Rattus norvegicus: one gene and its partners. The protein of the gene in region 1 purifies or fractionates together with the protein of each later gene. This does not show direct contact. Links are inferred from orthologs where the notes say so. Each region holds a gene or a part of one and is shown on either strand. Other genes may lie near its edges.

Region 1 (5,490 bases):
CTAGGAAAACATTTAGTTTCCTTTCCAGGATCACCACCACCACCAGCAGCAATGGGAACTACTGAATGCTGAAAGCTCTTCTGGTCTGCGCTAGAATCCTTGGGAGCCAGACTCTAGGAAAACAGCAGGGCAGCCTGTGAGCCAGGTCCAGGAGGATGGGATGGGCATTATGGCTCAATGGCAGTTACAGCATGCCCCTTTGTCTCCAACCTTTTCAAGAACCAACAAGTAGGGGTTGGGGATTTAGCTCAGTGGTAGAACACTAACCCTAACCCTAGCAAGGGCAAGGCCCTAGGTTCAGTCCCCAGCTCTGGGGAAAAAAAAAAAACAACCAAGTAACCTGGTCCTGGTAGCTCATTTGAAAGCAGCACACAAGCCCTAACCAAAGATGCTGCCATTGAAGAGGGGGGCAGGAGTGGCAGGGGCAGCATGCTAACACCACTGGCTTACAGGCCAGTCCTTCATCATGTAAAGAACTTAAGTTGTGAGTTGGAGGGGCTGGAGAGATGGCTCAGAGGTTAAAAGCACTGCCTGCTCTTCCAGAGGTCCTGAGTTCAAATCCCAGCAACCACATGGTGGCTCACAACCATCTGTAATGGGATCTGATGCCTTCTTCTGGTGTCTGAGGACAGTGACACTGTGCTCACATAAAATTAAACTTTTAAGATTAACTTAACACAGGTAGTTCTTGTTCTTTCTACTCAGTCCTTTTATTCCTTTCATAAGTTGTGCTAATTCCTTTGTCAGTCCTGGTACAGGTGAAGGTGTCAGATCCTCTAGAGATGAACTTAAACCTTAACAAGCAGCAGTTGTACAGAGAACAGGCAGTACTCGCAACTCTACTCTGCCCTCTCTCCTCCTCCCTCACCAGTGCTATTGAGCCCTGTGGCAAGCATAGCTCATTTATAAAGTGCTGTACATGGATGGAGACACAATACACATAATATACTCCAACCCAGCTTAAAGTCAGTGTCTTTAATAAAAATCTTTTTTGTCCCTCCCCCAAAAGAAAACCAGAAGGCAACAGTCTGGCAGTACAAAAAATATACACTGGAAGAGATGACTTGTCTGGTATCAAAGTCCCATCTGGACTAAGAAAGGCAAAGCCCATTTAAGACAAGGCACTAACGCAGTGACTGGGGAGACTATGGCCGTTTCTCACCTATACATGCAGCACCTTAGACTTCTATAAGCAACACCATTCATTTCTAATTAAGCAGCAACATGCCAGAGTGAGGCTGAGAGTCAAAAACAATTACTAAGATCTCCTGTTCAGCTTCATGCCTCGGTCAGTGCCTATGGTCCAATACAGGGTGGAGATGCCACCATGACACTTAAGGAACCTGGATGGTAAAGGGCGGGCACCTACACCGTGCTGTAAAGTATGTACCTCTGAGGTGACCCACAATGAAAAGAGAATCCCAATCTCAGGTGCCTTTCTCAGTCACTAATAATGACCTCCAGGAAACACCTGCAGTCACCCTAACTTAGTATGACACTCAGAAAACGATCAAGAGTAGCTAATGTGGGGCCCTGGGTTGGTCCCCAGCTCCGGAAAAAAAAAAAAAAAAGAGTAGCTAATGTGACCTACAATTACAAGGAACAGGCTTGACTCCAACCCTACCCTGAAGGATAAAGCGCACTCCTAACAATTAACAGGGAATCTAAAGTATCTTCTTTGAATATGGCTACCTCTTTCAAAGGCTCATGTTGGAACCTTCTGAACACAATTCTCTCCTTTCTTACTGAAATTTATTGTAAAAAGATAACAAATTTTGGGGGATTTATAAGCTTACAGATTGAACCTTGTGCAATGGCATCTTACAAAGACAAAGTCAGTACAGTGGAATCCCAAAAACTATCTCAAAAGAACACATTTAAGGAAACTTAAGCCACGAGACTGTTGCATTATGATTTAATCTAATTGCACACAAAAAACCCCCTGGAACCACAGCTCCTCCAGATTTCTAAGAGAAAAGGTTTACATGCCTCCATATTCAACTGTGCATCATCACAATTAACCAGTGTGGATTTTACATCATGATGGATCAATCTGGAATCCCATGCAACACCTCAAGTTATAAAATGGAACGAATTATAAAATTTTGTTGAATGTCAATGACTTCATGCTGAAGATCAAAGCCACTTTTTAAGGGCAACTTAAAGGATTTACAGTGTGTCATAGATTGGTGCTTTATAAAATGTTAGTCACTAACTGCCATGATCCTGAACTGACTTCCACACCCAAAACATGGCTCTCATAGGTGACAAGCAAAGGGGGGAAAATTCCTTCGCTAACGCAGTGCCTCTCAGTTGTTTCTTACAAAGAACGAACTGGGTAACCAACTGCTTTCCAGGGATAAGAGCAATGGGGGTTCACTCAGCTGACTGCTTACTACACAATTATGCTAGTATTTTATTAATTCAAAAGCACTTTACAAGAAAATATAAGTATGGTTTCCAATAGGAATGTTATACCTGGACTTGATACCAAGCTCACAGATTTTGAGTGTGCAAGGAAAAACAGGCTTTCAAGTTAAACAACAATTTGTAACCAAAACTTTAATCCCAAGGATTCTCACAAACATATTACAAATGACAGCATGAAAAAAAATCTTGCACAGTAACTGAGTTCAGCTCTACAATGTACCCTTAAACTGATAGGACACTGGTATCTTAGTTTTACATTTCCAAATAAAGATGTTAGACAGCTCTGCATCCCCATACAGCAACCAGGAAGGAACCACTGTGAAAACCTTCAGAGTGTGGTTCCTACCCTTTATCTGTTGGTTGTGTTCACAGCAGCCTTTAAAGGCTGCTCACCATTTCACCCACAGTGCCACACTGTGTCTCAGCCACTAGGGGAACTACAGCTTTAGTCCATTTCCGCTAGGTGCTTGACGTCATCAGTACATCACTTCAAACTGGGCAGGATCTAGGTTTATTTCAGTCTATGAAAAACTAAAATTCAAAGAAAATTCAATCTCGCTTAAGGGAACATTGTAAAGTAACAATTCTTAATATCACATGCCTCATATGATCCATTTGAAACCATAGAGAATTACATCGTTTTGTGTGTCACTGTTCCAAGAGACAAAACAAATTTGAACAGCTAAAACATCTTAAAAATGCACCAAGCTTATGAAGTCTCAAACAAAACTTTAATTTCCTGTACATACTCCTGTCAAATGAAGTTATTTCCTGTACACCACTTTTGCCAACTGGTCTTCTATTTCCTTTCATTTGACCTAGATCGGCTAAAAAAACAAAAGAAAAAAATTAAACATTATCTTAGTACACAGATTACATATACATATCTTCAATACTTCAATCATTGATCTTACCTACGAGACCTAGAGAAGGATCGAGACGGCTTGTGATTTCTCTCACGAGACAGAGACCTTTCTCTTCTCCTATCTCTAGAAAGAGACCTAAAGCAAACAGAAGATACATTAGTTTATCAGAAATTCACCTCGAAGAAAGTCTAGCTCAGTCTAACTTAGTGCTGACTGTATGGTACCCTTGTCACTGTAATTACTAGCCAGAGAGTTAAGCTTCCATTTCTAAGAACAGGGCACCAAAACATTTACCTGCTCCGGCTTCGCGAAAAGCTTCTCCTTCTTGGGGATCTAAAAGCAGAAATAGTAAAATTAGACTAATTGTCAATTATTGTATGTGGCGTTGAGGCATTTCCCAACTTTTCAATTTCACTGTTGGGCCCAGTGAATGTGCCGGAGAACTGGCACTCATCGTCCAAAAATAAAAAAAGAAAAGAAAAAAAAAAAAAAAAAGGGCACAGAAGGATTAAGGAACAAAAAGCTCAAGTGAAAAGCAGGTATTCCAACCATGGATTCATTTTAACAAAGAATGCTTCACAGCAGATCTGTCCAATGCAAAACTTCATGTCAAACTAACTCCACTACCCCACAACACCACACCAAAATGTAGTCCCACAAGTAGTTCCAAAAACTGTACCATAAACCAGTATTTGGAACCCATGCAAAACCTTTAAGTCTCTAACAAGACTTAAGTACCAGGTGAATAGTGTAATTTTGTGAAAACGCGGTGGGTGTGGTAAACATCGATGCCATTTAGTGCTACATTAGAACTGCATTTGTGATGTCACATTTAAGAGTGTGTTTAGGCTTATCAAAATTACCGTAGCTTGGCCCACACTTCACCCCCATTTTTTTTTAAACTTTGAAAACTGTTAGTAAAACCATTTAAAGGTGATAGGATTCAACAAAATTTTGCTAGGAAGAAAAGCTGAAATCTGTTAGAGATATTAAATTTTAGTTTGGCATCTCACACATGCACATAAGCTCACTTGAAGGTCTAGTCACATTATGAGTTCCCTATCACCCTTAAAAGTTGTTTCAAGCAATATATTGTACGTTACCATTCAATTATGCACAGCCAGCCTTTGATCCAGAAAAAGAATTACTTTAAGCCGCTTACTCCTTATTTTTAACCAGCAGTAAACTGTATAAGCAGGAAAAACTTACTAGTTTTGGGTTTCAACAAGCTAGAAATGGTGAGGTGAGGCTGCCGGACTGACGGCCAGGAAGAATTTGCTGAAAAGGTTTTGCCAGATGTTGCGTTGGATTTAGTTGGTTGGCGAAGGGGGTGTTGTGGATTTTTCCTGCTTTTTTGTTAGCCGAAGGCTGCTGCTGTAGTTGTTGTGAAGACATTTGGTAAATAAACAGCTGAGCTGATTGGCCAGGAATGTGTGGGCGGTCGAGGTGGCTGCTGCCGATTTGGTTAAGGTTGGAGAGAAGGCTGAGAGAAAACAGCATGCTCGGGAACCAAAGGGCGGTGCAACCTGACGACTGGCCAGCCTGGGTCATGTGAAACGACACCAGCCAAGCTGAATGGGGCGCGCTGGTCACATGACGCTGAAAGGGCTAGTTGACTGGCTAATGCAGATTCAGAGGGTGGTGAGAAGAGACATGATGGTGACTCTGTAACGGGGTTCATTTTTATTAATAGATGGACCAAAAAGCACAAAAAAAATGAAAAACAAGCCATCAGTACAACCATCTCTTAGCTAACAAATACTCTTCATTATGATGGGCAACAGTGTGTTGTTTTTCAAAATAGCAAAAGGGGCAAGATTTTGAACTCCTATCTCCTAGGACTTCACTCACCTGTAAGAGGTAAATTCAGTCCTACAGAAACTATTTTAGAGGCTTGATTTGAGGAGATGAGGAGTTTGTATCCAGGCAATACTGCCTGGTCCAAGAATGATGCCATTTCAATCATAAAAAAACTGAATTCTCTCCTATTTGGGTTTCAAGAACGGATGACTGGGATTACTTTTAAGCCCCCTTTATTGGTCAGTGATTTAAGTTTGTTTCAGAAAGATTTCTACTTTACCAGTTGTAACATTAAAACAGCTGCCTGTTTTGACAACTACTACAATTGTGCTAGTAGAAAACACATTTGTGAAGAGCTAGTTGAATGTCATGTTGATCATTATGGAGCCAAGAA
Region 2 (5,954 bases), on another chromosome or scaffold:
TTGGTGTGGCCACAAGCTCATAGCTGGAGAAACCCACCTCTGGAGATGTCAGGTAGGAGCTGAACTGTTCTGGCTTCAGCTGGATTCGAAAGTAGTTCTTATAGATTGTTTCCTAAGGGAAAAAGGGAATGGGTTACTTCTTACCACCCTTTCTCCCTCGGCCAATTATGACACTCTTTTCCTTGCTCAGGAAGTCTGAGCTGGAGGATGTAGTGGAGGCAAGACCAGCCTGCACCACAGAGCCAGTTCAGGCCAGCAGCTTAGCCAGCCCCAAATAAAAAGGGGCCGGTTATTGTCAGTCCAAGTCTTTAATTCCAGTCCATAGGAGGCAGAGGCAGATGGGTCTCTAAGTTTAAGAGAGCCTGGTCCAGAGTAAGCTTCAGGACAGCCAAGGCTACACACAAAAACAGTCTTGAATAATAAGGACTGGGGCTGTAGCTCACTGGTAGAGGGTAGGTTATCCCTGCCACGTGTGAGGTAAGGGGCTCAGTCCTCCGTAAAAATAAAAAGGTGATTATTCCCTCTCTCCACAGAAACCCAACTCACTGTGAGAGACTTTCTCCTGCAGTAGGACGACCACGGTTGGGGCTCCAGGACCAGAATGCCCCCAGGTCGCAGATGCCGGTAGATCCGGCGGAACATTCTCTTCAGCCCCTCATCACCCCAGTTCAGGTGCACCCACTTGGTGAGGCTGAAGCAGAGCACCACATCATACTCAGGTCTTTGGGCATCCACCAGCTCATCTCTGTCCAGGACATAGTTACCCTGTGGGCCAGAAGAGGGGAAGATGTCAAAAAGAGGGATGAGAAGCACTGCTGGCCCCACAACCACCTGAGGACTGAGAACCTCACTTCAGCCCTGTGGCTTCCTGAGGCTCTTCCCAACAGCACCCTCTTTTAGCCCCATGTTCTCTTCTCCCTTTTAAGCTCCTGGTGCTAAACCAAACAAACTTAAAGGGGAGCCTGGTTAGGTTTAAATTGAGCTAATTTATCTAATGGTTAACTGGAGAAATTACAGTGTTCCCAAAACCCTTACCCAGGAGACCTCACATACAAAGGCCATGCACTGTTTTAAAGACAGAGACTCTTAAGCTGTGTTTCAGGTCTGTTCTTTCTCTAAGGAAATAACCTTAAGAAATCTCTTTTTAAAGAAGGTAAACTCATCACCATTCCTGGGGAGACATTTCCCAGGCCAAGCCACTGGCAAAAGTTCCCCTGGATGGCCTAACAACTGTGTAATGGAGGGAACTAGCATGATGTCAGGCTGGGCACTCGCTCCATGTAGAGCCCTGCCTTCACTGCCCCTTCTCATTGTTCAGTCAGCATGGGAAGACAAGCCCATGAGTTCCTGACCAGTAATTTCAGCAGTCTGTGCTGCATCTGGGGAAAAAAGGCAAATAAAGTCCCTATCAAAGTCCCAAACTACACATATTGGAGTGTTTCCCCTCCCCCAGACACCCAACTTCAGGCTCCCTCAGGAGATTTGAGGACAAGGTTCCATCTGGACTCAACAGGAGAGGTTACCCTCAAGGGAAGCGGATTGTTTGGATTTTAGTCCCAGTTGGAAGCAGAACAAGTCAGCCCCCTATGTTAGGGATGAGATCCTTGTTTGTAGTCATGAGAAAAGACCAGATGTTAGAGCCTGAAGGTAGAGATCCCACTTTCCACGTTATAGGAGCAGAGATAACACACCCAGCAGAGATTCTCTGGCCAATCCAGACTGTTCTCTCCGGGAGATGGTTCTTGTATGAAGGAACAGATGCATGGATATGGCCATCCCCCCCAACACATCCCTACTTAATCTCATCTTCACATTGGGACCCTATTCCAAGAGCCTCTGGACTCTTACCGTGACGAAGACGACATTGTTGGGGAAGACAGATGTGTCCGCTCCATCCAAGGGCAAATGGGGTGCAGCGATGGGACCCCGGCTGGCTGTCAGTGAGGCTGGGAAGCAGCTCCTTTTTCGGACAGTGGTAGTCCCTTCCTCCCCCTCTGTCCCTGGGTCCCCCTCAGAAGTCTGAGCTTGGAGACGAAGCTCCTCGGACAGGTAGTGTCGGATATTTTGGCGGGCAGAGTGGATAAGTCGTGGATCAATGTCCAGCCCCACCATGCGGGCTGGGCCCCACTTGCAGGCAATACTTAGGGTCAGATGGCCAACGTTGCAGCCCAGATCTAGGACGTCCCGGCCTTGAAACCACTCAGGCTTCAATACCCTAAGGCGCATGTCCTCACAGGAAGGATTGCGATAGCCATAGTACTTGCAGTAATTCCCATACTGGAACTTGAGCTGTTGCTTTTTGAAGCCAGTTGCAGGTAGTGGGTGGTGGTGACGGCCTCCCCCACTCCCTCTGCCCTTTTCCTTGGAACCCTGGCTTCCACCCCTAGCCCCTGCCTCTGACTTGCTGGAAGTCCTGCGACGTTTGCGATGTCGGGAGGAGGAGGAAGAGGGTGCAGAGGTAACTGAGGCAGCTGGAGGGGCAGAAAGGGAGCCTGAGGAACCCTGCAGGGCAGACGGAAGGGGAGACACAACTTCATCCCTGCAGTTGATGGCTGTGTTGAGTTCATAGGGTTGAGGGTCATCTCGGTTCTGGCCTCTGTGCTGCTGCGTAGCACCCTCCCCATGGACTGAGGGTGTGAGAGGGTCAGTGGGCAGCACAGCTTGGCTATCATTCCCTCCAGATGCCTGCTGCTGCTGGTGGTGCGGTCCCCGGTGTCTATGGCGCTTGCGACCAATCTTGAGTGGTGAAGCAAGCACTACATGGGCTTCATCAGTGCACGTGTTGAGACTGAGTGGGTCAGTGATATCTTTTGGGATGAGGATCTCCACAGGGTCTCTCCCCTTGGCCGGAAGTGGGGATGACTTTGGGGTCTCCGCATTGAGTGCGCGACTCACTTCCTCATCCAGGAGGCTATTCAGGTTCAGTGGATCAAATATATTACCCCCCAGAAGGAAATTGGATGGTAACACGGAGTCGCAGTCCGAATTCACTCGCCGGCGCCTCTTGAAGGCCGGATGTTTGAAGCTTCCACCGCTCCCTCCCCCCACGTTACAGCTATTTCTTCTTTTGCCCCCACCACCCACTGGGGGTCGGTGGGGCTGGTAGCCATTGCGAGGTCGAGGAGGGGCTGGGGGACCCAGGTCCGTCCCGCCCCCTCCCCGGCGCTCCTCCCCCACGTCCGCAGGAGCGGCAGCTCGCCCGTGGGGCTCCCCATGCGTCTGTGCCTGGGGGCCGCCCCCTCCGCTGGCTGTGGCCCCGGCCGAGTGCGCGCGTGGGCCCGGCCCGCGTTCTGTCCCGTCGAGGAGCTCCCCGGAGGCAGCCTCTTGGTGCGATCGCACCTCGGGGCCGCCCCCTCCACCCGACTCATCTTTGAGCGGCGGCGGTGGGGCTGGCACCAGAAAGGGCTCCTTCTCCGCCGCCATCTCGATCATCTCCTCTCCCTGTTTAATTTCCCCTTCCCAAGCGAGGGTACTGAGAAGAGATCAAGGGGAAGCCCCCCTGTAACCCTTCCTAAGACCACCTCACTCCCTCCTTCCCCGAGTGCGCGCGCAGCTCTGCCTCGCGCCCAAGCGCCTCCACCTCCCTCCCGCAACACACCAAGCGCGCTCCACTCGCCCGCGAGACCAAAACAAGATGCCCGCGAGACCCGGACAAGCCGAGGAACCAACTGCGCGTGCGCTGACACCCTTTTCTCCGCCGCCTCTACCACTCTGCCGCGAGCGCGCACGACGGGCGCGCGTTCCGCTCGCCCAGGACCCACGCATGCGCGCTCCGCCACCACCCAGGCTGCGCGCGCATCGGGAGTGCGAACCAACTTAACGGCTCTGAGAGTTTAAATACAGCCCCCCCTCCCTAATAGCCTCACCCTCCCCCAGCCCGAGACGCCCACCGCCCCACACGGACACCCGACTTCCCTTCGCTGCTAAGTCCAAGCCCTACTGATATCCTTTGTCTCTGCTGTGAGATCCCACCCACCGTAGGCGGGGAACGGGAGCTGGTGTGAAAAGGTCTCCTTGACACCCGACCCTTGTTCCTGAGGAATGAGGCTCCGCGGTCTCCGCCCGGCTCTAAACCCAACAACCTCCCTGCCCCGCCTCCTTCCTCCCCCATCCCCGCCCCTCCTAGAGAGCGCCTGCGCACCGTCCTTTTGGGCTTGCGCGGGTTGAAGGGGCAACACGTGCTGGAGATGATGCTCCGCCCCCTCCGTCCTAGGGGCGGGGAGTATGACGTCGTTTCCTTAGGTTAGATGCACGCAGCGTGCGTCAGCACGTTTCCAAGGGTTGTGCATTCCCAGGAAAGGGGCAAGCTCATGAATTATTCATGAGCAATCTAGTCCTTCCCCTCCTTCTTCCCGCCCATCTCATTAGAATTAGAAGGATTTAGGAGAACCTGAGGGGGGAATGATAAAGTAGGCGAAGGAGTCGAGCACACTGTCTCAAGAACTGTTGTCAATTAAATGCAATACATTGTTTAAAATATTCTTCGAATTGAAAACAAGCAAGCACTAAAACATCGAGGCTGTACAAATTCCTCTTCCCCTGAAACGGCCTGGTCGTTCAGGCGACCTCCCTTCCACCAGCGAGGAACATCTAGAGAACCACGCCTTCCTCTCCTCCCTTCACCTACGTCAGGCCTCGGACGCCTCCGCTACAGTGCGGCGCCTGCGCATCAGTCCCCAGCGCGAAGGGTGGCGTTGTTGTTATCGTCAATGCCACCTTTCGCGTTGTGGATTTTACAGCATTATCGCTGCAGCTTTGCTCCACTAGACACACAAGCGAATGTGGGCGGGAACGGGTATCGACCTGTTTTGGGCCTTCTGCTTCGGCCAATGGGAAGCACTGATTCCATGCCGAGTCCCTAGACTGATGGCTGGCGGAGTTTCCCTGTCAGCAGACTATCAGAAAAGAAGCAAGAGGGGGGCCCAAGATGGTCTCAAAATATAAGAGCGTGACGGAAACTAAAAGATAGGGGTCATAACATGGAAACAGGAAGGAGAAGGAGATTTTAGGCAGAGACAAGAACGAAGTGCCTCAGGTGCTCCGCTGCAGCTTATGGGGGGGGGGGGGAATAAAGGCGCCGGCGTGGATTATGGGACTTGTAGTTTCACTAGGCTTTCACTCGGAAGATGGCGAGCTACTCCAGCTGCTCAGACGCAAAAGCGGCTTCCCTCGGCGCATGCGCACTACGTCTGTGAGCGCACGCCGCTTGGGGGCGGGATTTGTCCGTGTCTTCGCGCCTTCTCCTGGTGGCGGGAAAAGTAGCTCGAGGTGGAAGGGATGTGCGGAATGGCTGCGATAGCGTTAGCTGCGCTTCATCTTTAGGTCCTCGTCTCCCCAGAAGGTAGTTGTCTTTTATGCGGCTGCAGAGGAAGGTGTTAGCTGTGGTGAATCTGGGTACCTGTTGGCTGAGGAGAAATTTTCTCTTCAGAGTCACAGCGAACCCTAGCCTCTTCTCTTCAGAATCGCTAATCTTCAAAACACTCGTAACAAAAAAATAACCCAGTATTGTGGCGGGAAATGGAGAGTTGAGGGACAGTAGACTGAGCGGGAGCGGAGGGGAGGCTTCCACGGCGGGATTCTTGGTCAGGTGAGAGAATAGCAAACCGCTACTTGACGCTTTGAGGGGAGGCGAGGGTTGTTTGCCTGGGTGAGATCTTTGGTGTTAATGGCCGTACCAGAGAGAATTGATAAAGAAAGAGGAAAACTAGAAGAGCACTCAAAGTCCCCCCCACGGGGGAGGGGGTTCGGTTTTCATGGCGCCGCACCGTGATGGCTGTAAGCAGAAGTCTGGGAACATCCCCAAGGGCCAGCCTGAGGTGCGGGACAAGGTTGTGGAGGGACATGAGTGGAAGCCATCCAGAGGCTGAGGTCAAAAATAGAAATGACAACTATTGGAAAGAAACTGTTTTGCTCACAAGTGACCACAGGTCTTTAGGGTTTCTTCCACTCCCCCA
Region 3 (5,490 bases), on another chromosome or scaffold:
AGTGCACACCAGTCCGGGGGCAGCAACACACCTTGATCGGGATCTATGTCGCCGTCTGGGTCTCGTATGAGAAGGTGACCGAGAACGAGTCCGGGACCGTGATTTGGAACGTGACCGAGATCTTGGTCGAGTCTTTTCCTTTTCCTTTTTGGAATTTTTTTCTGGAGATGGTTCTTTGGGCTCTGGTACAGGCTCAGGCTTGGGAGCTTTCAAGATGTCACTGTGAAAATAGCATTTTGTTTTGTTCCCCCGACTCTCCTCAGAATTCCATGCCAATTCAATCATTGGCTATCTTTAGAAAGTATTTATGGAGGTTGGGGATTTAGCTCAGTGGTAGAGCGCTTGCCTAGGAAGTGCAAGGCCCTGGGTTCGGTCCCCAGCTCCGAAAAAAAGAACCAAAAAAAAAAAAAAAAAAAAAAAAAAAAAAAAGAAAGAAAGAAAGTATTTATGGTGCAAGCTTGATCACCTGGGTTCAGTTCCTCGGAACCCCACAGTGACAATGAAATTAAAGCCACACTCTTAACCATGGGGCCTGTCCCTCACTACTAACAGATTAAAGGGTAAAAACAGATGCAGAGCACCATATTTTTTAAAAAAGTTTTCAAAACCTGCAAATACCTCTTGGTTTCAAAGGACAGGTACACATCCTGATTCACTGAGCAACTAAGAATTTATATCCCCTTTTCATGTGTGGGACAAGAACTGTGTCACTGTCAACTGCATGAGTCCAGAAAGCCTGATCCCTGGGAGCCTTTGGAGCCATGAAGGGAAAGAGGCTGACTTGACCAAACAGCCCATAGGCACAAGGTCCAGCTGAGACAGGATCTCCTCATCTCCTCGACCACCAGTCAAGCAATCAGTGGATAGCGCTTTGTAGTGGCCATGGATGGGTGCTGTGTGAGCAGTGTGCACGACTGCAGAGGCTGCGTGCAGTGCTGTGTGGCCTTGTAAGCTATGAGACTGGATGCAGCAGATGCATTGTGCTCAAGAGAAACGCAGCCATGGGGCACAAACGGTTCCCCTGAAGAGGGAGGGTAGCTTTTATTTAGGATATTTTGTACCCCAGTTAACAGAAGTGAATAAATCTCTTTGCATTTGGGGGTAAAGATGTTTAATAGGATATAGGTCAGTGACAAAAACTGCAAAACTCTGGGTTATATCCCCCTATTACAAAAAGAAAACAAAACAAAACAGGAATTTGTCCACAATATATTGTGGCAAGCAGGTAGGAAAATCAATAATTATGATCTATAAAATTTTTGAAACAATATGGAAGATAGGCAGTCACCTCTGGGGCATTTTCCTTATTTCACACACACACACACACACACACACACACACACACACACACACACACACACACAAATTCAGCTTCATTTCCAACACTAACTTTATAATATTAAAAAACTTAAGAAAAGGAAAACTGGTACTTTGCTTTGAAGTTAGCAGTGTCATCTGAGGGGGCACAAACAGCCTGACAAGACTATGTAACAGAGTTAAGAACGTGCCTTGTAGATGTGGCCTCTTGTACTGAAGAGTCTTTCATTCTCACTGATGGTTCTGGGAGCTCTGGAGATTTCTCCTTCTTTTCTGGGGCAGGGGAAGGGCTCCGGCTCTTGGTTCTGTGACGGGGAGATCGAGAGTGACTGCGCTTTCTCTCTCTCCTGACAGGGGAAGATCGTCTTCTAGGGGAAGGAGATCTGGATTTGCGTCTAGGATGAAAGCAATTTTTTCAGATTTTTTAATAATGTAGTTTAGAGTAGACAAAGGGAAAATCAAGGATTAATCTTTTAAGTTACCCAATGTTGTCTGTATCTGAGAAGTTTCACATGGAAACAAGATATCCATTTCATCTACTTGAGAAGGAAAAGGCCAGAGAGAACTAGAAGGACAAGCAAACAGAGGTAACAGCCTCAAGTACCAGTTAGAAGGGGAGGCACGGAGTTGGGCTGGAGGCACCGGTTCTCAACTATTCCCAACGATCACTCAAAGACCAATGCCTCAGACGAAAGTGCTAAAGCAACTCTTCCTTACCAGGAAGTCAGCCCTGTATACCAACGTACCACAGTATAGGTAGCTCCTATCAGAGATGCCCAGGCAGAGCCTCAAGATGCAGGAAAATGGATGGTGCAATACAAGTAGTACGTTCTCAAGAAAAGAGAAATGCCAAATGTTTATTGGCGGGAGCCCCTTCTTCCTTTCTAAGCTGTAGTGCGCCTAATCCAAAAATATTTACTAGTTTTTAAAAACTGTAGTAACGCTAAACGGCAGGGTGGCTTGCGCTCAGCCTTAGAGGCACTCCTTCTGTAAGTTTCCAAACTCAGCACAAACTAAATAACAAAAATATTGCTTCCTCTTTTCTTTACGAATCCCCAATTTATTTTTAAAAGACCTAAGAATGAAAAGCCTGATGGAATTCTCACCTTTTACCACAAATATAGCAGAAGCTGACCGTGGACTTAAAAATGTGAGCCTAACAATAGTCTCATGGGAAGAAAGAAGAAAACAAATAAATGATCTGAAGGTTGGGCTCAGTACAACCATCTAAGAAAAGCAGAACACGGAATTAGGTAAGTATATGAATGCTAACGAGCAGATTTAATAAAAGGGAAATGGAAATAGTCAGAATACAGTACCAACAAAAATCCCAGTGCTTTATTTAAGCAAAGCAATATGAAATCCTCATTTCTACTTAAGAATGAGTAACTCATCTAAATTACAGAGGTGATCACGGGTTTTTTTAAGAGTATCTTAGCATTGCCTGGACTGGCCTAGAAGCCAGCCCTACCCCCACTGCCTCAACCTCCTGGGTAGCTGTATAAAATATGCCAAAGTGCTGGCAAGAAAGGCTCTCTCTAGCCCAGAAGCACACAGCAGCTCTCCAGTAAAGCTCCCCAGGTCTTCAAGCTGGGAGCTTCTGCCAGAGCACCCCTCAGGACCCAAGGCACCTAGAAAACACTGTCCTTGTATCTGTTCTGTCCTACCTTCTTGGGCTGCGAGACCGCTCCCTCTTCTCTCTGCTGCTTTCTTTTTCTTCCTTATCCCTCTTATCTTTATCTTCATCTTGTTTTTTCAGAGACGCCAATTTTTCTTGTTCAATCTGTAAGCACACAGTGAGACGCTAAGAGCCAGCCATCAAAGCACCCCACACTGGCGTGGCAACCACCGCGGCTGGTGCAGGGGGCTCCATGCTCTCAACTTTACTCTTCCAACACTCTTTCCGTTATCCTTTATCATTACTATAAATTTATAGCATTTATTTAAAGTCTGTGACTTTATAATTACTGCCTATGTGAGAACTTGCACATATTTTTTCCATACTTCATTTAAATTCTCTTTTAAGGTAAACTAAACACTAAACAAAACCAAAGATCCCTGCCAATCATCACTGACCTCTGGGAAAAAGCTGCTCTAATTTTCGTGAGAGTGGTAAACCACAACCAGTGTACAGTCACACCACAAGTTAAAAGCTCTCAAAGGAAACAGCTATCCTTAAAGCAAACCATCAGCCTCAAGTCAGTTCAAAAAGGATTACTTGTCTCTGCTTTATCTCTTCCTTCTTCAACTCTAGGAAAGCAGAAGGGATTCCGGCGATATTTTCTTGTGCACTTAACAGCAGAGGCCACAGTTCTCCCATGAACTCTCTAGCATTCTTCCCATTCAAAAATCCAGTCAGGTTGATTTGCATCATTTTGGAATCTGGGTTCTGCGAAAAGACATGACAGGAAGAAAACCAGGTTACTTCAAAACCAACGAACCAACCTGAAACTCACGTAAATTAGTATTTAAGTCTACCATAAGGGGCTTAGGTACATATATACAAATATATATGCTCCCTACTTGCTTCTTGGTGATATAATTTCTAGATAATCAAAATTTCCCTCACTGAACCAAAAGCATTAGAGCAGCCTTTGTGGGTTTCCTTAAGTATTTAGACTGTGTGGCTGTTAGTGGGCCTCATGTAGTTATCAACTTTAAAGACAATCATGGAACAAACACTATACATTCTAGCACTTACTAACAATACTTGCTTGGCTGGAAAACTTGCCCCAACAAGAAGTTGAAAACGTACATAGACACTTCTCTTTACACTACGGTAACTTTCTGTAAACTGTCTATTATCTAGTGTTCAGTTACAAGAACTAACAGGTTATGCATGCAGTCTGTAACATCTGAAGACTAAGCTAGAAGCCTGACTACTGCACATGGAAACCTATTACTAGCAATGCCACAGATGCTCAACTGTCCACAAAACTAGGAGTCAAGATTTCTAAAAGTAATGTGGGTTTTTAAACACTAGGTCTGTTGGTCAAGCAACAAGGTCCGTATAACAAGCACAGCTCAATAGCACAAAGCAAGTACAGATTCCAGGTGTCTTCAGTTTCTTCTTGGAACCTTGGGGGTTTGGAATCGCCAAGTCCCCTGTAGAGAAAGATGTTCCCTTGGCTTGCTTCCGACTCCCTACTGCAACTCAACCACCTTGAGTTTAATGTTATATCATTTATCTAAATTGCAAAAGACGAACAAGCAATAATGAGTACACAACCACAAAAAAAGAAAAGATTGTTTAAAAAGTTCTAAACTTTAATCTCATGCTCACTACAAGGGGAATACTACCAGATATTTAGGTTTTAAAGTGTACTAAAATTCAAATCAATAAAGCATTTCTCCAATAAAGTTTACTATTAAGCATTTATAAAACAGTCTCCCATGTTTCTGGTTTCTAAATGAAATAAATATACTTAAGTATAAAGTCCTTTCTTAAAATTAAGTCTTAAGAAATATTCAAAGCAAAATAATTACCACATTGTTTTAAAAATGAAATACCTTATCGTTTGGAATGGTAACTGTTCTGTCAGAATTCAAGCATGAACTCTTGGGAAGAGGAGTAATGTAAAAGTAAATTCCCATCAGTGATTTACCAAAAGGTTTTATGGTACATCTTTACTGTCCTTGGGATGCCATGACAAAACAGCAAACTATGTTATAACAGAAATGGTTTAAACATCAGCTGTAATATCTTGTATTATTTAATATTGGAAGATAGGAACAATCATGTTAACTGGCTTTTCTAGGACTGTCAAGTTATCTGCCTGAAATTTTACTATAATGTAAATAAAATCCTGTGCCTTAATTCTAACTGGTAACCAGCTGACTTGCAACTACAACTTAAGTCTTTAGTTCTTTTAAAAGCAACATCCAATCAAATCAGAATCGCCCCTCATGCTTCAAATACATGTCCACCTCAAAATGCTACTTTAAAGAGCAGTATACAGCTTTACCAATTGCTCTTGTTTGTGTTTTTGTTGTTGTTGTTGATGTTTGGCCACTTTACACAACTCACCTCCAAACACACACTGCGTCATCAAGGGAGTTGGGTCAGAGCGACATTGGGACACTCACTCTGCTGTGACCTAATAAGGTGATGGTGCTATACTTCAGACGCAAGGAATAACTTCCATTTTGGTTCAGGCCTTTTAAATCATAAAT
Region 4 (6,234 bases), on another chromosome or scaffold:
TCGTCCATGTGGGTATGCGGAGGCTGACGAGTATCTTCCTTGATTATGTAAGTACAGTTCACTCAGTGGCTGGGAGAGGGTGTAAGATCTCCTGGAGTGTAGACTGTAGGGACTGCCTGATGTGGATGCTGGGAACTGAACTTGGGTCCTTTTCAAGAGCACATGTGCTCCTAACCACTGAGCATCTCTCCAGCCCCCTCCTCTTTATTAATATTTCAGACACTCAGGCCCTCTGAAAGAGCATTATGTACTTAGAACCAGTGATCTATCTTCACTTTAGTTTTTGAGGTGGGGTCTTCTCCGTGAACCTGGACTACCGGATTCAGCTGGGATGGCTGGCCAGTGGGTTTAGGGATCTGCCTGTTGCTGCCCCTCCAGCAGTCAGGGTTTAGATGCCTGTCACTTTGTCAGGCTTTTACATAAGTGCTGGGATTTAGAATCGGGTTCTAGCACCGCAGGAATTTTATGAGGTGAACCATCCCTCCAGCCCCACTAACTGTAACTTTTTGAAAATTACTTTTTTTTTTTTTTTTGGTTCTTTTTTTTCGGAGCTGGGGACTGAACCCAGGGCCTTGCGCTTCCTAGGCAAGTGCTCTACCACTGAGCTAAATCCCCAACCCCTGAAAATTACTCTTTACCACCTCCTAAATTTCTGTGGTTTCACCTCATTGGGCTGCACTGTGGGCGGAGAGGCAGAGAAGTGTCTGGAGTAGCAGCCTGGGAGCTTAGTGTTGACTGCCTGATGTGTCCCTGTCCCCACCCCCACCCCGCTGTGGCTGTCCCAAGGCTTCTCTGCACTGCAATTTCAAATCCCTCTGAATTGAATCCTCAAGCTGCAAGTCTCTTTAGGAGGGAGAGAGGCCTGTGTGGCTGAGTAATTAACCGCTTCTGTTTCTCCTACCTCCCACTCTGTAGGCCCAGAAAGATAGCGTAATGGTGGGGTTCATGACTGTCACCCACAGCTGGCTATCCCAAACACAAACCTTTCTATAAAATATACACTAGGAAGCCAGGCATGGTGGCACATGCCTATAATCCCATCACTCAGGAGGTAGAGGTAGGAGGATTAGGAGTTTAAGGTCATTCTCTGCTACAAAGCGAGGAGCAGGCCAGCCAGTGCTACACAGCAAGATTCTGTCTCCAAACAAGAGGGCTTGGGTAAAGCTCACTGGTAAAGGGTTTTGTTAGCATGCTCAAGTCTCTGGGTTCCATTGTCAATACAGCAAAAGGAGAACAAAAGGAAAGGAAGGGGAAAGGGAGGAAAGAAAATGCATTCTATTCTTTTAACCCAGTTTTGTTCTTACATTTGTACTGCACTCAATGGATGTTGCCGTTCTGAGGAATTCCATCTTGTTTGTCCCAGGGTGCAGGCCCATTTTAAGAAAAGCTTGAATGTGCTGCACCACTTGTGTTGGGTCTCATAAGCACACATAATTAGCACGTTTGTTCCTTACATTCTTCTTGGAGGTGTGTGTCACCTCTTTGTTCTGCTGAAGGAACTGACATTCCGTGCCATGCCCAAGGTAACCTAGTGTATTTGATTCTTGTATTCTTCTGCTTTAGAATGATTTGTCTTTCTCTGAAAGGATTTTTAGGAGTTCAGATATATGGTCTCAGATATATATTCCTGGTTCAGATCGGGAGATAGGTCTAGAAAGGACCCCGAGCTAGTTAAATATGACATAGGAGGAGACACAAAATCAGGACTCATGACAGACAAGAAGTGCCTTCTGAAAGTCTGATTGTTCAGACTTTCCTTTTTCCCAGCCAGATTCTTACTAGAAACATTTGCAAGAAATCATGCTTGTGAGTCTTGTGATGGATAGAGCTCCCAGAAGTGAGAAAATGGAGTCTACGCTCTGGTTGTGCCCTTTGGGTAGGTCACTGCAATCTTTGAGCACCCCCTTTCCATTTAAGATAGGGTCTTCTGTAGCTTAGGCTGGCCTCAAGCTAGCAAGTGCCCCTTGGTGCAATTGGAGGATAACCTTGAGCACCTAATCCTCCTGCTTCTATCTCCCAAGTGTGGGGAATACAATCATGTACCACCATTACCAGTTTAAATTTAGTCAGGTCTCACCTTGGATCCCTGGATGGCCTGGCACTCGGAGATGAGCCTGCCTCTGACTCCTGACTACTGGAATGACAGGCATGTAACCCTACACTGGGCCCTAGTTTAAATTTTTTGACTACATAAAATGGTTCAATTACTGGAAGACTTGACAGAGACAAAGTTTACTATGGAAATAACTTTGTAAACGCTCAGATTGCCGAGATGATATATTATAGTTCATTCTGGGCTCTGAAGTACAATTGCCTAGGCTTAGATCCAGGTAAATAACCTACCTTGAGAAAACCGTGCCTCAGTTCTCTCCTATGTAAAATGAAAATAATAATAAAAGAAAGTAATAATAAAATCTTATTCCTAGAACTGTAAGGGTTCAAGCCATGGAAGTATTCGGCACGCAGTAACTGCTCAGCGGTTCTTAGAAGTATAGTCCTTAAAGTGTAGGTATTTTGGAACCTCAGACGAAGCTCCACCTCCATTCCTGTTTCGTCCCGCCCCCTACCCCGCAAAATCCCGCCCCAAGCTGGCCCCAGGTTCTGAGGCCACCAAGGGGGCGCCAGAGATAAGGACGGCTCTCTGGTAGAAACGGACGACGCTCTAGGTGACAGAGGTGCTTCTCTGTGGTCATCAGCGACGGCGCTCTAGGCGGCCGGAGTGAGGGGCGGGCTTTCTGTGGTGCGGCCGGCTGGCAGCTATGGCGGCCGTTCGCGGCCTGCGAGTGTCTGTGAAAGCGGAGGCCCCCGCTGGGCCGGCTTTGGGGCTTCCGTCGCCCGAGGTGGAATCCGGTTTGGAGCGTGGCGAGCCGGAACCCATGGAGGTTGAAGAAGGCGAGCTGGAAATCGTGCCGGTGCGGCGCTCCCTAAAGGAACTGCTCCCGGTACGGGCGAGGGGCGGGGGCTGAGGAGGAGGTCGCCGAGCGAGTGTCCCTTGCGAGGCGGGGAGGCGGTGGACAGCGGCGCTGGCGCAAGTCCCGGAATGCGGCGAGGGGCGCGAGCGCCGAAAGGCGGGGGCCGCGCATGACCCGGAGAGCTCCGGAGAGAAAGGACGCCGGGGCGCCCGGAAATGGGTGCAGAGAACGCTGGAGGAGGCGGGGGTTCTCGGAGAGAGTTGGGGACACCCCTCTGACTGCCCCTCGGTGCGGGCCCGTGGCCCGGAACGAATGAACTGAGTTCGGCTGAAGATAAAAGGGAGTCGCGGGCGGGAACAGAACCGGATCAGTCCTGAAAGGAAGTGTTAGGTGCCGCGGGCGTCCAGGTCTCCTGGTGGGTCCTACCCCGGCGGAGTTGGTGTCACTTAAACATGACATTCGCTCTTCGGTTGGGAGGGCTAGACTTGTCAAACAGCAGACACTTGTGTGTTGGTATTGTGAATGAGTGTCCTCATGTCCCCGCGTGCCTTCACTGCGTCTACTTGGTGGTCCCAGCTTCTGACGCACGGTGACATTTGATCTTTCTTTAACCACAGTGGATATGAGGAGTGTTTTGTTTGTGGTTTGGTATCCACATGCCCGCTCCTAAGGCTGGTGTGAGGCCTGGGTAGCTTGATTTTCACACATTAACCCCCCCCCCCGTTTAATTATGCGATAGCAGGTCTTGGTTTTACGTTTGAAGTTATAGTGAAGGGTAAGGTAGTGGTGACAAATATCTTTGGTAACATCTATAGATTATACTGTGGTCGTGACTTTAATCAGTTTAACATGTATATATCACACATCTCTCTATGTGCTGGTGTAATTCCAGGTGCCGAAGAGCAAAACTCCCTCTTGGTGTTTGCCCTAGTAGGGGACACAAGTAAATAATTTCCTTTTGTGTTAAGTGCTACAGAGAAAACACATCCTGTTAATAGGATAAAGTACAGTGGCCAGGAGGGATGTGAAGCAGTTGGTATGTGTTGGGATGCACAGGGAAGTCCCCCGAAATAGATTCAGCTTTAACCCTAAATGACAAAAAGGGGCCAACCATGTTGGTTGGAAAGGGAGCAATTCCTAGCAGGGAGGACTGCAAGCACAAAAGTCTCGGACATGAAAACAAGATTGTTTTGTTGAAGAAATGTTGGGTTGTCTTCAGCACAAGAGGAGAGCAGAAGTCAGAAAGATGTTGTAGAGGAAAGCAGGGCCTAGAGATTGAATGCAGGGGCCAGGGTATTGGCTGCAGACCCGAGACTTCAGTCCTCATTCTAGTCACTTCCCCTCCTTTTTTTCATTGTATTAGGCTGTATTTTTCCCAGAGATCTAGGACTTGAAACATTTTTGTGGAGGCATTTGCTCCACCTAGTGGCCTTTCATAGAAAATTTGTCCTGTCTGGTTTGGGGAGTTAAGTGACTGTCTCATTTTTGACATTTTTCACAAAAGACTTTAGGCTTTCATTTATCTAGATGCCCTGAGTTGACAGAATTACTTAATGTTATGCACAGGCTCCTGCCTGGGGTCTGGAGAAGACTTCTTATTAGAATGGTTGCTTTCTACTGTGGAGCCTCAGAGATAGACTTCCTCCTAACAAGGGTTGTTAGAATGGAGAAGGGTTGCTAAAAAGAATGGCTTCAAAAAGGGCCAGCTGTCAGGCTGCCTTTTATGGTGGATTGTTCTGTCGGAGTTTCTCATTTTTCCTCTTCTGGTAGGACACAAGCAGAAGATATGAAAACAAGGCCGGCAGCTTCATCACTGGGATCGATGTCACCTCCAAGGTGAGACAGACGGTGATTATTCAGGTTGATAAGCAGATAGAATTAGTGAATGTGGTCTTTACCTTTTACACAATGGTAAATATTTTTGCCTCATTTTTTTCTTTTGTTGCTGATATGTATCTCATCTATCTATGATACACATATCTCATAATGTCAAATATCTACATCTGTCTGCCCAACGATGTCCTTATATATCCTGAGACCGTTCAGGCAGCATTTGTGTGTGCACATATCCATGAAAAGATAATCACTGAACTTAGTTGTCTGTGCTAACCATTTCCAAGAAAGAGTTTGCACTGGGAATGCTTATTTTAATATTTATTATTTAACATTCACTTGTTATGTAGGATGGATGTGTGTGTTTTGTGTCAAAGTGTGCATGCTGTAACACATGTGAAGTCAGAGAACAACATCAGGTGTTGGTTCTTACCTATCATCTTTTTTGTTTGTTTGTTTTTTGTTTTTGTTTTATTTGAGGCAAGATCTCTCTGCATAGCCTTGGCTGTCCTGGAACTCACTATGTAGACCAGGCTGGTCTCAAACCCACAGAGGTACACCTGCCTGTGCATTTCAGGTGCTAGGATCAAAAGCATATGCCACTACATCTGACTTTTTTTTTTTTTTGCTGGTAGTAGTATTATTGATAATATTTTTAAATTTGTGTATGAGCATTTGCCTGTATGTATTAAGTGTACCACATTCAGAACTAGGATGTGAGGAGCTCAGGAGAGGACTTCAGATCCGTTTGGACTGGAGTTTCAGATAGTTGGGAGCTGCCCTGTGGGTATTGGGAACCAAACCTGGATCTCTGTAAGAACAGACAGTGATTGTAACTGCTGAACTATCTCTCCATTCCCCCTCCTACCTTGTTTTTGAGGTGTTCTCTCATCTCTGTCTCCTGTCTCTAAGAATGTAGAAATTACAGACAAATGCTGCAGGGTCGGACTTTTACATGGTACTGGGAATCTCATTCAGGTTGTTAGGCTTACCTGGCAAGCACAACCACAGTCATGCTATGCCCCTGGCCTCGGGGATGCTTAAAGCCATTAATGTATATCTGTGGAAACACTGCTTTCCAACTTAGAAAAATGGTTAGAAGTTGTCTGCATGTCTAAGCTTTGAGGGCCATGCCGACTGATTATCCCCAGCATCTGACAATATTGTCTTTTGCTAAGTGATTGCGTTACCATTGTACCACCTCCATTATCATACCTCAGAGTGAAGCCTCTTAGTTCCCATGTGATAAATTGTCCATACGTTGCTTTAATTCAGTTCATTCAGACTTTTTCTTTCTTCATGATTTAAATGTGTGCTGTTCAGTTTAAAACAGAATTTTCCATTTCAATTGTACTTTTTATTCTGTGTATATATCAGTGTTTGCCTCTGTGTGTTATGTGCACCATGTGCCTGCCTGGTGCCTATGGAGGTCAGAAGAGGGCATCAGATCCCCTGGAACTGGAGTTACAGACAGTTGTGAGCTACACCA
Region 5 (5,490 bases), on another chromosome or scaffold:
TAAGTGATGTTGTTCATATACTTGGGGGTGCGGGACCCCTCTGTACCATCAAACTTTCGGTAGCCAAACTGGTAGTCAAAGTGGGCTACAGGAGACATGGGCATCATTAGAAAGAGAGAAGGATCTCGCCTACTACCCATGCCGCACTCCCTGGGATATCCCGGAGCCCAAAGGGGCCTCACGTACTTCGAGTGCCACCCCGTCCACGGCCCCGTCCACGACCACGCCCCCGTCCACGGCCACGGAAGGAAGCCCGAGCCCCACCAGCCCCATCACTCTTCACACTCGATGTCTCATCCTGGTCGTGCCATGCAGGCTCTGGTTTGGTCTCTGGTTGCCAGGCTGGGGTAGGTGGGGCCACAGATACAGGCATGTAGGTGGCAGGTTCAGATCCTATAGTAGTAAAAGTAACACAAGGTAAATCCTGAGAGTATCCTCCTCATTAGACTCTCCATAGCAGACAGTACATACCTTTGATCTCTCCTCGGATAGCAGGTGTATGTCTTGGTTCCTGTGGGCGAGTGGGACGTGAGGCCAATTTCTCTCTGGGTACTTCAGGCTTCATGTCTATTTGCAACGGAACCCACTTGTGTTTGTTCCCTGAGGGACGGCATAAGCATGTCAGAGAGGCATGGCAGGCCCCTCAGACATGGCTTTTTCCTTCCCCCTAAATTCTAGTTCAACTACCCATCTGGTAGCCATAGGCATGTCCTTTTCAAACACCAGACCTCTTTTTTGTTGTTATAAATCTCTAAAATAAGGAGATCAGAGGTTCCAGATGTAAGAATCACTTTCTGGAAACCTGAATAAAAACTAACTTTCTAGGCTCCCTTCACACATGTGACACATCACTGCCTGTGACAACCTTGTGGGGCCATTCTAGGTGGAGTGAGCAGGAACAAGGGAGCCACCTTGGATGGAGAGGCTGCTGTGCTTAATGAGTTAAGAGTTGCCACCTCAAGCCTGGCCTGCAGACACAGAATAGGTCTCGGAGAGAAAGCAGTCAAGCCTGTATCATTTCAACAGGTTTAAGAAACTCTTAGAGCAATATAAAAGCCCGTATAAGAGAAGATGCACTAAGGCTGAGCAAAAGCTGCTCCAAGCAGTCAGTCACCCCCTGGCCTGAAGTTCCTCCAGCAGGTCAGGCTTATGTCATTTCAAAGTTCTGAAAGGTACACCTCCCGGGTCCTGGCCAAGCCACTTACCTTTCTTCTTCTGCCCGCCTCGCTGGCAGTCCTCATCCCCATTCTTTTCCTCCCCCGATTCATCCGACTTTGTTTTTGGGCTCTCCTTACTATCACTTCCATCTCCTTTCTCCTGCTCCTTCATGTCCTTCTTGGGTGGCAGCTTACGGGCAGGCTGAGGCTTGTGGGACTGTGGCTACAAGAGGCAAGGAAACATGTGGTCACTGGGGAAGTATAAGGACAGGCTACACTAGATACATCCTAAGGTCTAGCTTTCATACTCAGACAACACCACTACAAAACACGACCATACCAGCTATGGAAGAACAACTGATTGTTCTAGCTACCCAAATCTGTGGGATAGAAAAGATGCTGGCCTGTCTGTACCAAAACCTCTACCATAAGGGACCCACTGGGGCAGTCACTAGCTCAGAACAAAAGTGATGAGTGGAACTGAACTGACCAAGAAAGAGTCTCTTCTGCTAGAATCTAGGGGAGCTAAGTATACCTCCCCAAACTGGAGTCAGTGCCTCAACTGATACCTCTTTTTTCAATTACTCATAGAAAAATGTGGCTCAGTAATGGAAAAATATGGGCTTTGGAAAACTGTAACACAGTTGTTTCCTAAACCCGCTGAGCCACCACTGGAAGGCAAAAAAGAACAGTGCCTGGCACCCCTGAAACCAGGCAAAGGCTCACATGATGGTAATTCCTAATTATTTCATTCCTGTCCATCTTAAATAACTACTCTTCATTTGTTGAGAATTGAAGGGGGTTGGGAGTCCTATGTCTCAAAGGATGGCCTTGAACTCTTGGACTGAGTATAGTCATCCTTCTTTATCCTTTTGAGTAGCTGGGATTTCAGAAGTATACATACTATTGTGCTCACCGACCACTCCTTTTCAAAAATCAAGAAAGGTGGTGTTTATGGCTCTTGGTCAAAAACCAACTAAGTCAGTATGAAGAGTACTTGAACCTGCCAACCCCTCCTCACTCACCTGCACACTTTTGTGGGCTATTTCTCCAGGTGTAGGCCAGTTGATTGCATCTCCAAAGTCACCAACCTGCAAGGTATCGTCTATGAAGGCCTTGGGGTTACTCTGCCTGCCATTTTGCTCCACACCCAAGCTCTAGCTCTTTTTAGAGATAGGGACACAACAGTGTGTGCACTCAGACACCATGCAATGGCACCCATAAAGGCTTCCATGCTCTTAGAGAAGGGCCCGAAGTGCTTATGAGAACAAGAATAATGAGCGCCCACAGGGACACTCCCCGGTCTTTACCTTGCTGCCCTTACGCTGTTTGGGAGCAGCTGCCCTCACCACCTTGGCCGGAGCAGAAGGTTCTGTGGGAACAAAGAGAAAGAATCAGCTGTCAGAGCCTATGTCATTACCATGCCCATCCCACCATGCACCTACAGGTTCCCAAAGGAGCCACAGCAGAAAGGGCAACAATATAAACTGGCAGCCTAGCCACCAAGCTGCTCAACACTGAAGTGGGAAAACCCTTAGAGTCTAAGTCTGTATTTTTTATGAGTTATCAACTGAGTCTCAAGGTCCATAACCAAGTCTACACTGTAACTCAGAGCTCCAAATCTATAGGCAAAACCTGTAAGGAGATTGAGTCTTCTGTATACTTCTGCAAGCCCAAAGAAAATAAAGCTAAACATGTGAATGGACACGTCCAGGGCCATACCAAGGCCTGCTGTGTCCTCGCTGACATGTAGTTGAAGTAAGAACTACCTTTTCTGTTCCTAAAGAAAAGGCATACTCCGATTTGACTCTAAAGTTCAATTTTGTGAGACAACATTTCCCAGTGTAGCCCTGACTGGCTTGGAACTTGTCAGCAGATCAGACTGCTGAACTCATAGAGATCTCCCCCCGACACATCCTTTGCCTCCCAAGCATGCCACCATACCTGGCCAGTTTCATCTTTTAGATTGAACCCCAATAATACAAGTGAGACAAGAGCTATACACAATTTCAACTCCAACAGTACTAAAATCACCGAATTTCAATTCATCCACTTTCACAATAGCCATTAGAATATACTGGTCTTTGGTTATGTGGAGATAGACACATAGAAGATGATGACTTCATCTGTTTTCTATAGAACAGAGGAGCGTGTATGTAATCATGCATCTGTGGGGCATATATTTAACTTTTCTACAAAGACGAAGATGGCTTTTAAGGAACAGAGTACGCAAGTCTAGAAGAAGTGGCTCTGGTTAGTTTGGTCCTGAAAACCAAGGGTGTCTTGTCCCTCCTGCCTCTAGAGATCCACGGGAAGAAACACAACCTGAGATTCTGCTCACTCACTTTAGCTTGTACTTCCCTCCTCTGCCATGTCAGGTCAGGAACTACCCTAGCCTCCAAGCACAGAAACCTGGCTGGCTGGCCTCACAAGGTTTTTCAACAGACTATGTCCTTTAATGAGAAGAAAGTGTCCTTGCCCAGTTCCTAAGGGTGAAGCCAATTCATTCCTGGCTTCTGGCCGGTTACTGGAGCCACTGTCCCCTAATGGTGGACATAAGTCTTCTGATAGCTGGAGTTGTTGAGCCCACAGCAACCTCCAGGGCTGAGAAGCAGAAAACTAGAAAATCTCAGGTGCAAGAAAACCACTGTCCTTTGACCCCAGGTTGACCCAGATAAGCCATTGAACATTTAGTAGTTCCTTGACTGGTCTAAAGCTCCTCACACGAGCCGAGCAAGTGTGGTAGTAGATGCCTTTAATGCCAGCACTCAGGTGGCAGAGACAAAGGATCTCTGGAAATCTGAGGACAGCCTAATCTACAAAGTAAGTTCCAGGACACCCAGGGATATACCGACCATCTAACAACTAAACAGATCTTCATCCAATTCAGCCCAGGGCCTGGACAGTGGCCGCCCACCTGAGCTACAACTGGAGTCATTTCTTCATGTGCTCAACAGCATTGGTACATGCTAGCAGGAAAGCAAGCCCCAAAGCTAGTGACAAAGTTTACAACAAGAATTGTATGCACGCTGGGGATTTGGCTCAGTGGTAGAGCACTTGCCTAGCAACCGCAAGGCCCTGGGTTCGGTCCCCAGCTCTGGAAAAAAAAAGAAAGAAAGAAAGAAAGAATTCTATGCACAAGGACTGGAAGTAAGGTATACCGAAAATCATCTCTGAAAAGAGGGCAAAAGTTTCCAGACACTGGTCTTTTCAAGTCTCTTGGTCTGAGTAAAATATACCTTGCCTCGCCAGGAAATGGAGAATCAACTCTCACAAGCTGTCCTCGGATTTCCACAAGCATGCCCTGGTGCTCCCCCCAAAAAACAAACAAAATAAACAAACATAATAAAGCCTTTTAAAGCTATTTTCTCAAGCATTTTAAAAGAAGGGTCTTGCTCTGTAGCCCAAAAGCAGTCTCAAATTTCCAGCAATTCCCCTGCCACAGCCTACGAAGTGCTGGAATTCCAGATGTATATCCTTCCTAGTGGCCATCTTATTTCTTATAAAATCTCTCAAAACTGAACAGTACTAACTGAGATCACCCTGAGATCTCAGCAGAACATGGTCATGGACTGTAAGTTCTGTCTCCAGTACAGAGAGAAAGCTTAGAGGAGCCTCCTGCTTATTCCTATCTGAGCATCCACCTAAAGAGAGAGGAAAGTGATCTTATATCTGTCCTAAGTAGAGCTTGTTAGAAAGTTCCATCCCAGAGGGCTCTCTAACAAGAAGAACTATGCCATCCCCTTTTTTTCCCTGATCCTTGCTAGAGCCTCAGACTGCCTCCAAGCCAGCAGGACCCTGATGTCCACTCTGCACCAAGCCAAGTCAGCTCTCTAAACCTGCCTTCTAAAACCTGCAGCTGCCACCACTTACTACCCAAGCCAAGCTCAGGACACACCACTGTCACTTACATGAGAAAACAGTTCTAACCCCACTGTTTGCAGGCAGTAGGTAGACATGGAAAGGGTTTTCTAGGAACTAGAAGGCTTTATTCTCTTGCAAGAAACTCCATGGGAGGGGCTGGGGATTTAGCTCAGTGGTAGAGCGCTTACCTAGGAAACGCAAGGCACTGGGTTCGGTCCCCAGCTCTGAAAAAAAAGAACCAAAAAGAACAAAAAAAAAAAAAAAAAAAAAAAAAAAAAGAAACTCCATGGGTTCCCAGACATCCACTGGCAGTAGAAAAAGGCCCCTTCTTACTGGATTTGAGTGAAAGTCTCTCTTAACTCCTAACTGTCCTTTCTTACTGTAGTTTAGGGTCCATCTCTGTTTTTTTCCAATCAGACACCCCAGTCTGGGTTTATAGGGTCAGTATGAAATGGCAGGCTCAGGCTCT

Evidence for each region.
Region 2: the proteins of Srsf3 (region 1) and Mepce purify together in Homo sapiens (affinity purification with mass spectrometry; 3 studies listed by BioGRID and IntAct, with this or other methods). This does not show direct contact. The link is inferred for Rattus norvegicus from reciprocal best matches to the Homo sapiens genes SRSF3 and MEPCE.
Region 3: the proteins of Srsf3 (region 1) and Srrm1 purify together in Homo sapiens (affinity purification with mass spectrometry; 3 studies listed by BioGRID and IntAct, with this or other methods). This does not show direct contact. The link is inferred for Rattus norvegicus from reciprocal best matches to the Homo sapiens genes SRSF3 and SRRM1.
Region 4: the proteins of Srsf3 (region 1) and Ncbp3 purify together in Homo sapiens (co-immunoprecipitation; 3 studies listed by BioGRID and IntAct, with this or other methods). This does not show direct contact. The link is inferred for Rattus norvegicus from reciprocal best matches to the Homo sapiens genes SRSF3 and NCBP3.
Region 5: the proteins of Srsf3 (region 1) and Larp1 purify together in Homo sapiens (co-immunoprecipitation; 3 studies listed by BioGRID and IntAct, with this or other methods). This does not show direct contact. The link is inferred for Rattus norvegicus from reciprocal best matches to the Homo sapiens genes SRSF3 and LARP1.

Annotation. Positions count from the first base shown.
Region 1 is NC_086038.1:7,098,983-7,104,472, reverse strand, and holds the end of Srsf3 (serine/arginine-rich splicing factor 3), read right to left. Parts: intron 4,962-5,490; coding exon of another isoform or gene 4,928-4,961; exon of another isoform or gene 3,677-4,927; intron 3,630-3,676; coding exon 3,591-3,629; intron 3,432-3,590; coding exon 3,345-3,431; intron 3,258-3,344; coding exon 3,230-3,257; 3' UTR 956-3,229; downstream 1-955. UniProt on the Homo sapiens protein: Splicing factor, which binds the consensus motif 5'-C[ACU][AU]C[ACU][AC]C-3' within pre-mRNA and promotes specific exons inclusion during alternative splicing.
Region 2 is NC_086030.1:24,546,665-24,552,618, reverse strand, and holds the start of Mepce (7SK snRNA methylphosphate capping enzyme), read right to left. Parts: upstream 4,024-5,954; 5' UTR 3,433-4,023; coding exon 1,849-3,432; intron 766-1,848; coding exon 547-765; intron 113-546; coding exon 1-112. UniProt on the Homo sapiens protein: S-adenosyl-L-methionine-dependent methyltransferase that adds a methylphosphate cap at the 5'-end of 7SK snRNA (7SK RNA), leading to stabilize it.
Region 3 is NC_086023.1:152,864,559-152,870,048, forward strand, and holds part of Srrm1 (serine/arginine repetitive matrix protein 1), read right to left. Parts: intron 5,475-5,490; exon of another isoform or gene 3,707-5,474; coding exon 3,536-3,706; intron 3,101-3,535; coding exon 2,985-3,100; intron 1,713-2,984; coding exon 1,509-1,712; intron 221-1,508; coding exon 32-220; intron 1-31. UniProt on the Homo sapiens protein: Part of pre- and post-splicing multiprotein mRNP complexes. As a component of the minor spliceosome, involved in the splicing of U12-type introns in pre-mRNAs. Involved in numerous pre-mRNA processing events.
Region 4 is NC_086028.1:58,161,504-58,167,737, forward strand, and holds the start of Ncbp3 (nuclear cap-binding protein subunit 3), read left to right. Parts: upstream 1-2,737; 5' UTR 2,738-2,759; coding exon 2,760-2,942; intron 2,943-3,044; exon of another isoform or gene 3,045-3,327; intron 3,328-4,682; coding exon 4,683-4,748; intron 4,749-6,234. UniProt on the Homo sapiens protein: Associates with NCBP1/CBP80 to form an alternative cap-binding complex (CBC) which plays a key role in mRNA export. NCBP3 serves as adapter protein linking the capped RNAs (m7GpppG-capped RNA) to NCBP1/CBP80.
Region 5 is NC_086028.1:42,721,699-42,727,188, reverse strand, and holds part of Larp1 (la-related protein 1), read right to left. Parts: intron 2,530-5,490; coding exon 2,468-2,529; intron 2,249-2,467; coding exon 2,183-2,248; intron 1,381-2,182; coding exon 1,206-1,380; intron 601-1,205; coding exon 472-600; intron 394-471; coding exon 187-393; intron 86-186; coding exon 1-85. UniProt on the Homo sapiens protein: RNA-binding protein that regulates the translation of specific target mRNA species downstream of the mTORC1 complex, in function of growth signals and nutrient availability.